Drosophila melanogaster: one gene and its partner. Changing the gene in region 2 together with the main gene of any one other region gives a genetic interaction. Each region holds a gene or a part of one and is shown on either strand. Other genes may lie near its edges. The genes, in order: bif and Fas1.

Region 1 (5,122 bases), on a different chromosome or scaffold from region 2:
GTTTTGCTGCAGCTTTTGCTGTTATCGACGATGGTCTCTTTAGCTGAAGGCTTGCCCTCAGCAACGCTCTGTCCCGGTTTGCATTTCGTTTTTAAATGATTTGGGTTTGGATTTTGATTTGCTGACGACGACGGCGATCCAATTGTGCCAGTTTCAACTTCACCGCACCGGCTGTTACTCACCACACCAGCCGGCTGTTCGCCGCTCTCAAGCTCTCCATCCCGTTCTCCACTCTCGCTTAGAATATATCGCACCATCTCCCTCTCCTGACTTCTTGTGTTGAGTAAACTCGATCGCTGCTTTGGTATTGGTGTTACTGTTACATTTGTTGTTGCTGCCGCATCGGGCGAAAGGGAGACGGCAACAACAGAGTGATGACCTCCAGTGGAATCGGAATTGGTATTGGAAATAGAAGATTTCTCAGACTTTTCCTCTGAACCGATCATGTTTCTCTTTTGACTAGTGCTACTGATTGTCGCCGGTTCTGTGAAATCTGTTAGAAAAAAAATTGAAGAAAGAAAGCAAATACAAATGTTATAAAGACAGAACATTAAAACATAACTTGGTTTTTTTTATCTTATTCGTCCGCAATCTGACAACTCTGTGAGCTATCGATAAGCGAATATCGTATCGATAAGCGAATATGTAAGGCGGCTAATTTAAAAGTATACTGGTATTGGAAATCGTAAAAGTTGGCAAAATGAATTAAAAACACTTGTTACCATTACTCATGGCTGGTTAACGCCAACTGAGCAATTGCAGATTGTGTAAGTCACAATTAGTCTTTCGCATTTTTCCAGTCAATATATTTCACCCTGATTACTATTTGCTACGGCAGTTTTTAAATATTTTAAAAACCTTTCCGAAGTCTATAGTTCGTTGAATTTATTTTAAGTACCGAACGGTATCATTTAAAAGGGATAAGTATGGAGCTCAAAAGTAAGTGCAATTATTTCGTTTGTCAAGAATGCAAGAAATAGCGATTAGAAATACGAATACTTGCACCTAACATGCCTTGACAGAAATGCTTGGCTTGAAAATACCTTTAATTTGCGTGTCAGGTGAAAGTATTCCAGTTTGTCCAACCACCACTCACCTGCAATTGCACCTGGAGCTGCGTTGGCTTCTGCCAAAGCCCCACAACTGCCATCGGTGGGCGAGGTGATGGACGCCGCCTGGGTGCGGGCCACGTTCGTTTTCCGGCGCTGGATGAGGTCCTTCTTCCACTGCGGCATGTCCGGCAGGAAACCGGAAGTGGGCGACATCTCAGCTGCAGCTCCCAGGCCAGATCCTCCAGCTGCTAATCCTGCTGGCACATCCGTGTGTAAGTCCAACGAAGGCCGCTTCTGTGACTCCATTATCCCCGTCTGCAATAGGCATTATTCGCAGCATTAATGCATGTCAGCCGTGTCCGCGGTGTCTGTATCGCAGTAGTATCCCCTATATAGTGTGGCACACTATCCAGCTCTACATCTCGACCCAAAGACCAAGTCTGGCGGACTGACTGGCCCGAAGCTGGTGCCAATTGCAAGTGCCCGGTGCCCAAGCTCCTCTACGAAGCAAAGAGGCGGGCATAGCCGACCCAAAAGATTGGCCAACCATGCAAATTATATCCAATTCAAGAAACTATCTCAAGATTCTCAGTTTACTCGACCAGTTTTCGAGATGAACCAATAAGTGAGGGTATAAATATATTCTAATAGACAAAAGTACTGTTTTTTCAATATATGTATATTACATGAGAAGGGGAGTAAATACTTTAATATACATTTAACAAAAAATAAGCTACGATAAACACAAGCTGAAAATGAAATATTTGTCATTGCAGCAATTATTTTCTGCTTATGTAGAAATTTTAATAACAAAGTCTAGATAAAAAATTGAATCATTTTTATAAAATCGCAGCCTGTAGAAATCTAAGTTAATAAATAATAATAATAGTTATGACTGTAAAACTCGCAGCTGTTAGCAGAAATTCTATTTCAACAAGTGTATGGTTCTATAATATATTTATAATTTAACATTTATCTTGGAAAATAAATAAGATGAATATCTTTTGAGTAGATAAAAGGTGATTTCGAATTCGTGGTGGCGATGGCATTTAGAGTTTTATTTTTCTTAATTGGATTAACTGCTGTTTTTACAGCCCGACAGCAAAACAAAACGTAAAACAAAGGTAAGAAGCGAAGAAACCCCAATATTTTTCCAGCATAAATATGCTAAACTGCCATAATGAGCGGAAAATGCGATAAAACCGAATATAGAGAGGAAAATAACGGAAAAGAAAAGCGGGGAAACTGAAACCAAACGATTCTTTTTATTGTTTGGCTAAAATTGATTGCATGGCTAGATTATTGCTGTTGGAATTGGAATTGTTTCTGTTTTTGCAGCTTTGCCTTTTGCATGCCGCGATAAAAAGTATTATTTTTAATTTCCCGTATCAGGCGTATGCATGTGTCTGTGTGTGTGTGTGTGTATGCATCACACGACTCCGCCGGAGAGAGTGTGAGTGTGTGCAAGGGTGGCTGAAAAGGGGAGAGCGATAAAAAGGGGCTGCAAAATGCAGACGAAGCATAAAATAAACAACCGACGACGCGCTATCGATTTTTACGGCATGCTGGAAGCACCAGCACACTGATACACACAGTTTGCAGAATAGGGAAATAAACTGGAAGTTATGCTATGCCAAATTGAGTTTTTTCAACAAAAATTCCTCGCAGAGAAACGCGAAACGAACTAGTGGAAGACTAAAGAGCCGGGTTTTGTTTATTTACACAGGAACAATACAATCGCACGCAGCCAAAGACACACATACGTATACCACATACACATGCATATATCCCGACGCACTGTTCCGTTAGTTTAGTTGGGGTTTTTGTTTTTCTCGGGCTTTCGCTGAAACCTTAGCTTGAAATCCTTACTTTTAAGATGCTGACTATTTTTTATAATCGGTGGTTGGTTTTGCTTCCAATTTTCCGATCCCGAGTTCCGTTTATCATCCGCTCCGCTGCGCCTGTTTACCCCGCTTTTACACTTTTCCGTTTCGCTGTAGCTCAACGAACTCGTCGCTCTCCTTGCTCCGCGCACTTGTCAAGCTTTCCCGACTGCAACTGCACTCGAACTCGGGGCGTGGGTGCACTCGCTGCGCCTTAAAAGTGCATCTTTCGCAGCCGAATCAGCGGAAAAATCTGCATTAAGTTAAGCCGCGTTTCCAATACACAAATACTGCTTATCGATTGTTGGCGCTATCGAGCGGAGCATCGATAGGCATCAGCGGAGTTGCCAGGTAGGACGATTATATTAATGAGTTGGAAAACTATTCGTACTTGATAATCTTCTACAAATTGAATCGTCGATCGTCGGTGCCGTCGACAATCTGGTATTGATATTTGCTGGTGCGGCTTTTTTTCACGAATTTTATTTTGCAGGAAACATAACAGCAAATATTATTTAAAACATTGTAATTTTATAAGGTAAATTATTCAGGCCTAAATACAGAAAAATAAATTAATTTAATAAAACATTTAAATCTAAAAAATTAATAAAGAATATGTTTAAAATCACATCGCAAAATGTAATATTTTTGTATTTTAGTCAGCACTTACCGTTATTATTGGCAGTAGTAACTGTGTGGCAGCACCGCACCGTGGCAAGTCGATAGTTTTTTGTATATTGTTGGTCTGTATAAACAAATAATATTAAAGTCATAATAAAAGAAGTGCTGGTAAAGACTTAATAACTCTATGTTCCTTAAAAATTTTTAAATATATCTCACAATGAGCATTAACTGGATAAAGATCACGGAAAGGTATGTAATATCAATGTTCTTATAGAGATTAATTTCTTGCATTTATATCTTAGAGCCCGTGAGGGCATCAAAATCATCAATGCCTTGCCCTACGAGACCTTTACGACGGTTCTGTTCTACACCCACCGGCAGATGAGTCCCAGCGTAGCATCGGCGAGTGCCACCAGTAGTACAGTGGGCACCAGTGTGACGACCACCGGCCGGGTGGACAGCAGCACCGAGGAGAACCCCACAAGTAACACCGAACCGGAGTACACACTCGAGGAACTGGAGCGATTGGTGGGCGTACCGCGTCAGGACTTCCTGCTGCTGATCAAGACCTTCTCCTACATCCTGCGTCGCATCTCCACGTTTATCATCAAGCCAAGTTTGCTGCAGCGTGAGCTGCGCGAGAAACTCCAGCTGGAGGATGAGGCCAAGATCGATGCCATATTGCGTTTGTGGGTGCGCGAAACGACGCCCATTATGAACAATTTGGCCAGCAAGCGGTACGAATCAAATGTCATCGAAGATGTGGCCTGGAAGCTCAACATGGAGATCTCCTCGCATTGCCAGCAGCGGGAGAAGACCCCGCTGGCCGTGCTCCAAATGAAAACGGCCGTCGGCGAGGATATCAACATCGAAATGACACAACCGGAACTAATGGAACTGTACAATCAGTTCGAGAGCATCCAGGGCGAACTGGACGCCATGCTGGCCATGAAGACTACAGGAGCAACGGCGCCTGGCAATCAGTAGTGGGACGCCATCGACCAATTCCAGTGCCAATTTTATTGTTGATTCACACAAAACTCTGTGCAAAAAGATGGACCTAAAAGTATGCAATACTAACACGATCGTAGCCAAATGTTAAACACGTTTTTTTTTGTTTAATTCAGTAGGGTTTTTCCTATGTTCTGGCTAATTTTCCGAACGTAGCCAAATTTTTACTAGAGTAAGAGTTCGGCTTTGATTTATAAAACGTTGCAATGATTAGGATCTTCCAAACAGGACTAGTTTTTAAGTTTTAGAACTTACCCTCTGCAAAATAATAAATCCTTTAATAAATTTAGATAAAACAATGTGTGGCACATTTTACAGTACACTTTAATGGATCTCTGCATGCGTTTTACTCGTCTGCTCCACCTCGGATCATAATTCTACTGATAAACATTACAAATTATTACAATGATATATATTTAATATATGTCTATATTGTATATGCATATGTTATTCATCGGCCTTAGTATGCGTGTGTGTGTGTATAATGGAGTCGTATATTATGTATGCATTATACAGACTTTCTAGTTTCATCTTCTCAAACTTTTGCATAAT
Region 2 (5,228 bases):
AACCTACATTTATCTAAGCCATCAGCATGTAATGAGAAGTGCAGGCACCAGAGTAAAGAAGCCCGACTTCGACTTTAGAAGATGGAGATACCCTTTTGAACCAGTCTTGTCTACATTTTAAATACAACTGAGAAAATATATAAATCGCAAAATTTAAAAAGGGGATTGGATTGAAAGCAGCTACCTGCAATACGACATATTATTAATAAAATGATTATTTCATAGTCTTAAGAAGTAACTTTAAAAGGGATTTCCCAAGCCTGACTTTTTGATCCATTAGTTTTACGGCACTTAATTTGCATAAATGCCAGAAGATTACTTTCCGCCCTTACTTTTTTATGGCGACCAAATGGTCCCACCCTCATGTATAGCAGTACTCCAGATATGAGGCCGGAAATGCTTTGCTCCGAAAGTGGCAAACTTCTGGGCAAAGTTACAATGCCCTAAAGCAAGGGTGCAAGTGAGCAAGCCGAGTCCCCCTTCTTGTTTTTAATTTTTTTTAGTTGTACGCTCTGTTTCGCCTATTGTAACTCGAAAAGGTTGCCTTTTCTGTGTGGATGCAACTACTTCCCTGAGACACTTGCTGCAACAATTACAGTCTGTCACACGCTTTCTTTTTACTTGGAAGTCTAATTTACTTTTGAAGCAGCGTGTATTTCGGGTGTTAAATGCAGTGTTAAGGCAGACTAGAAAATTAAGCAGGGACTCAAGTCAGTTACTTAAAAACGCGTATTCAACTACTACTTCACCTACTATATAAGATAAAAGCAATTACAATAGACGAACTATGTTACTATTTTCCACTCAAATCAATTCTATTTTTTGAGTATAAGTTATGTGGCTTAATGGGCTACCATAAACCTTAACATATTAAAAAAATATATATATATTTCTCCTGGTGTAATGCTAATACCCCTTCTGGTGACTGAACCCCCGCCTTTGAATTCATTACACATGTTGTTCTTGTTATTTCAGCCGCGCACCTTTGTTGGCTTCTGAGTTTTTTACACATTAATGTGTTTTTGTTTTCTATGTACTTTGTATGTGAGTTGGCCTGTGAAGGTGTAAAAAGGCAAAACTAAATATAAAACTGTTATGCGCAGTGGACGTCAACGGCCGGCGTTTTTTCTACCATTTGCCTTTTGCTGGGGAGAGCCAATTCAGCAGACCTGGGCTTAATTTATGTGGCTTTTCATTTTTACATAACGAACTCCGCCATGCATACGAAATGTGGCCAAGTGGAGCTTAGCGGTCGGCTGGACCTGAACTGCCGCCAGGGATTTTAGGCAGCATCATCGATTTTCCGCAGTCCAACAACAAGTGAGATGGCTAAAGGTCAAGGACGATGCTGCCGGAACGAAGGCTACGCTACCTGTGCCCAAATGCGGGTGCGTCCCTCTTGCGCAGGCTCCTTTTTCCCGCCCGATCTGCCCCGCCTCCTCGCACACTCCACCAAGGCTTTTCCTTTCAAGGCCAACGAATTGGGGCGGCGTCTTGTGGGTGGTGGCACAATTACAGCCGAACTTTGATAAGTTGCCACTATTAGGTGGCAAGGTAAATTTATTGACTTCGCCAAAGCCAAGTCAGGCATAATAAAAAATTGATTTTATCATTGCAATAAGGTATCCGACCATGAGAAGAAATTAAGGCATCACAGAAATATATGAAACATATTCAAAAGGCTGAAAAAATTATTTAAACGCATAAATGTCTGCTAAAAATAGTTTGTTTTTTGCTCACACAAAAGTTATTTTAATTTTGGCAGTTTCCCTGGCTACAGAAAAAATGCGACTGATTACTGTATAAAATGTAGGCAGTTAAGAAATACTTTTCCAACGAAATGATATATTAGACTAATAAAAGCCCCTGAATGTGTTCAAATTTTACATGTTGCGCGTACGGATACCTAAACAAACATACTTTTGACAAATATTCGAAGTGTAACTCTTCGCATTAATTTAATCGGTTGCAAAGATAGAAAAGGATTACTAATGTTCATGGCAGGCAATCCCTACTGTACCCAAGGGTGAGCGGGGGGAGGGGGGGCGACGTTTGGTGGGTGGTGCTGGGGGCTTAATTGACTACGGACAAGTGTTTCGGTTATTTGCACCAACTGTTTCTGCTGCTACTGCTTTTCTTCGTGCTCTTACTCTACCACCTCCTTTCACCTCCTCATCCTCCACGTTCTCGTTATTCGCTTCTTCTTCTTCTTCTGACTCACCTGAGAGAGTTCCGAATCATCGCGCAATTTGTCCGCCAAATCGGCGGCGGCGGCTGCGTTCGCGGCGCAGAGCAGCGCCAAAAGCAGCGCTGCAGCGTTCAGCATTTTAGCGGACGAGCAGCAGCAGCAACAACAACCACAACAGCACTTGTTTATGCGCTGGCAGTGTACGTCGTTTGTGAGTGTGGCTGTGTGTGCTGTTTTGCGGGGGGCGTGTGCTGGTGTGAGTGCTGCTCTACGATTAAGATCTGCAATTCAAAGGCAAACAACAGTTAGCCGACGACAAACAGCATTTCCTCGGAAAAGAAAATATTATTTCACAGATATATGCTTGGCATGCTTTTTGTCCTCCTTGGTATTTTCTTTGTTTTTGCAAGGTTATCGCTGCTTCCTGTTCGCTTTTGCCCAGAGTTCCGTTATGTCACATAGAACAACAAGCGAAAAACGGACCACCGAGGAATCGGCAAGCACAACACAAACGCAATTTAACTAGAAACAAAGCTGCGCTTATTGTGTATTATTTTTTCTTCATTCCGTCGCTGTGTGTTTAATTATTATGCGCCTTTGCATTTCGCTGCTGCGGCACTTTTTTCTGTTTTCGATTTTATAGTTTTCTCTCTGGTCTTTATTCTGCGTAATTCTCGGAAACTCGGGCTGCAGGAATTAACATTAACGGCCGCCGCAGAAATTATGCAATGTCCACGGACCAAACTTGGAAAACACACAAATTCTTTAAGTAGCACACACAAACGAACGCAGCGCGGTGGTAAATCAATAGCAAGGGCAGCGAAATGGGCCGTGCAGCTATTTTAGAGTTATGCCCTATGCACAGTATAGATTTTCCACAGAGTTTCAATATAAGGGGAGCAAGTACCAGTCGGAGGAATCGCAACGTGCGCCACGCTCGAACGTTTTTTTCGAATTAAAACGAAAAGCGGAGAACAGGTTTAAGCCGAGCGTGTGGTGACGATAACGAGTGTTATCGATAGCTGTCGATGTTTCAAATCGCAACACTGTGCACTGTTAATAAATCGCTTAACATTTATATTTATTTGTGCATGTCTTTGGCGGTGACTCTTATTTATGTGCTTTTTATGCTTTTCCGAATCTTGTTAGAGGTAAAATATTAGTACAAATCGAGCGCTGCGTTGCTCTTCTGTGTCAGATTTATAATAATGTCTGTTTATCCAATCTTATTATTATTACAAGAAGACTGCTTTAAATTTTCTCATTTTTCGTTTAAAAGCATAAATAATCATTTTAACCGTTTCGCAAAATGTGGCAACGACAGAATGCGGTGGATAACTCCGCTAAGCAGAGTCTCTACTGTTTGAAAGATTTTATTCCAAATTGAACCGGTTATAATTTTCAAGCACTTATTTTTTTACTTTTCTAAGGAGATAACATTGAATTTTAACAAGCAGTGTACCTATTTGGTTCTTCTTACTTTAAGTAAATGGTAAAAGTCTTCGATAAACCACGCCGTTACTAAGCAACTTGCCACCAGCAACGCTTGTTTGCTATTGAAATCAAATTAATATCATTATCAGTTTTGACAATACCATTGCAAAGACCGAATTCAGAAAGCCAATAACGATGACTGACCAAAGCGAGCTGGATCAGTTGGCAACTGCCGAGCTGCAGAGGCTGCAACGCCAGCATCGGGGTCTCCAGCTGGACCTTCGGGGTCTCCTCGAGGAGAAGGCCAAGCGCCTGAAGAAGCAGAATCACATGATCAACGTACTGCAAGTGGAGCACCAGAAGCTGAAGGAGGAGATCAAGACTCTAGAAGGTGGTACTCATGCGCGAAAGAACACCAATGTAGATATCCACTTAATGGACTAGTCAGCCACATATAAAAGGTTTACATCGGTTTCAGAGAGAGAAGCACCTGGGCACTTTGCAGGAACAGCAGGCGGATTTGCAGAGGGTGCTCCAGAATGAGCGAACCAATCTCTGGGAACTGGAGGGCCACATCCGGAAAATGGAAAAGGAGATTGATGCCCTGCGGCGCAACGAAGTGCCCGACAACTGCTACAAGGACACCATCTGCAAGGTGCAGAAGAGCGTGGTCAAGTTGGAGAACCGCCTGGATGTCGTCAACAAAAAATGCAGCGATGTGCTCACTGAAAACAGCAAGATGAGGGACGCCATAAACCACATGTTGCAGGATCGGTGAGCATTTCTCGCTAGATATATACAATCTATAAAATACACACTAGGTTTATGAAAAGTCAACTAGGTGCTCTCCATATTATTAGGTTTTTATACCGAATTGAGCTAATGCGTTTCGACTCCACTCCAGGGCAAACTTCAATGACATGTGGCAGTCGATGGTAACCCAGTTTAACGAGGGCAAGAAGTTCATCATGGATCTCATAGACCAGTCGACACTGGCTTTCGACCAGAGAGAAGAGCTGTGCAACAAGCTGACCGTCCTAAAGGATCGCAACGAGAACGACAAGGTAATGCACATCCAGGAGATGCGCGAGATGCAGCGCCGCCTGGAGCACGACGCCAAGTTGCAGAAGTTCTTCGACATCAAGGGACAAAAGCGCCTCAATCCGGAGCTGGAGCAGCGCGAGCTGGACAAGAAGCAGAGTCAGAAGGAGACCTACGAGAGGCAGCTTCTGGAGTACAAGGAGATCATCGAGAAGATCAAGTTGCTCTACGGCGAGGAGGACGCGGACCGACTGGTGGCCCAGTTCAAGCGTCAGGAGGACGAGAACTTTGCCCTTTTCAACTATGTAAACGAACTGAGTCACGAGGTTGAAGTACTCAACGATTCCACTCAGGAGCTCCAAGATGAAATAGGTGTGTTGTTGGATTCTGAATTAGGCTATAGACTAGTCTTTATACTAAAATTTGTACATAATAATCCAAACAGAGCGCCAGAAATCGGAGCAGACCGAGAAGGAGTTGAAGCTTAAGACCGAGGCACTTGACTATCTAAATGCCGAGAAGGAGCGGATCGAGCAGCTGGCGGAGGAGACCAGAGAAAGGAAGC

Evidence for each region.
Region 1: of Fas1 (region 2) and bif, changing one enhances a phenotype caused by changing the other (phenotypic enhancement), as found in Drosophila melanogaster (one study listed by BioGRID).

What each region holds. Positions count from the first base shown.
Region 1 is NC_004354.4:11,677,089-11,682,210, reverse strand, and holds the start of bif (bifocal), read right to left. Parts: upstream 3,242-5,122; 5' UTR 2,922-3,241; intron 1,368-2,921; 5' UTR 1,359-1,367; coding exon 1,097-1,358; intron 494-1,096; coding exon 1-493. Other genes in the region: Vlet (valette), read left to right, coding at 3,777-3,808, 3,862-4,546.
Region 2 is NT_033777.3:16,623,210-16,628,437, reverse strand, and holds the start of Fas1 (fasciclin 1), read right to left. Parts: upstream 3,201-5,228; 5' UTR 3,096-3,200; intron 2,470-3,095; 5' UTR 2,327-2,469; coding exon 2,222-2,326; intron 1-2,221. Other genes in the region: Ccdc114 (Coiled-coil domain containing protein 114), read left to right, coding at 3,818-4,042, 4,101-4,396, 4,527-5,035, 5,109-5,228. UniProt on the Drosophila melanogaster protein: Neural cell adhesion molecule.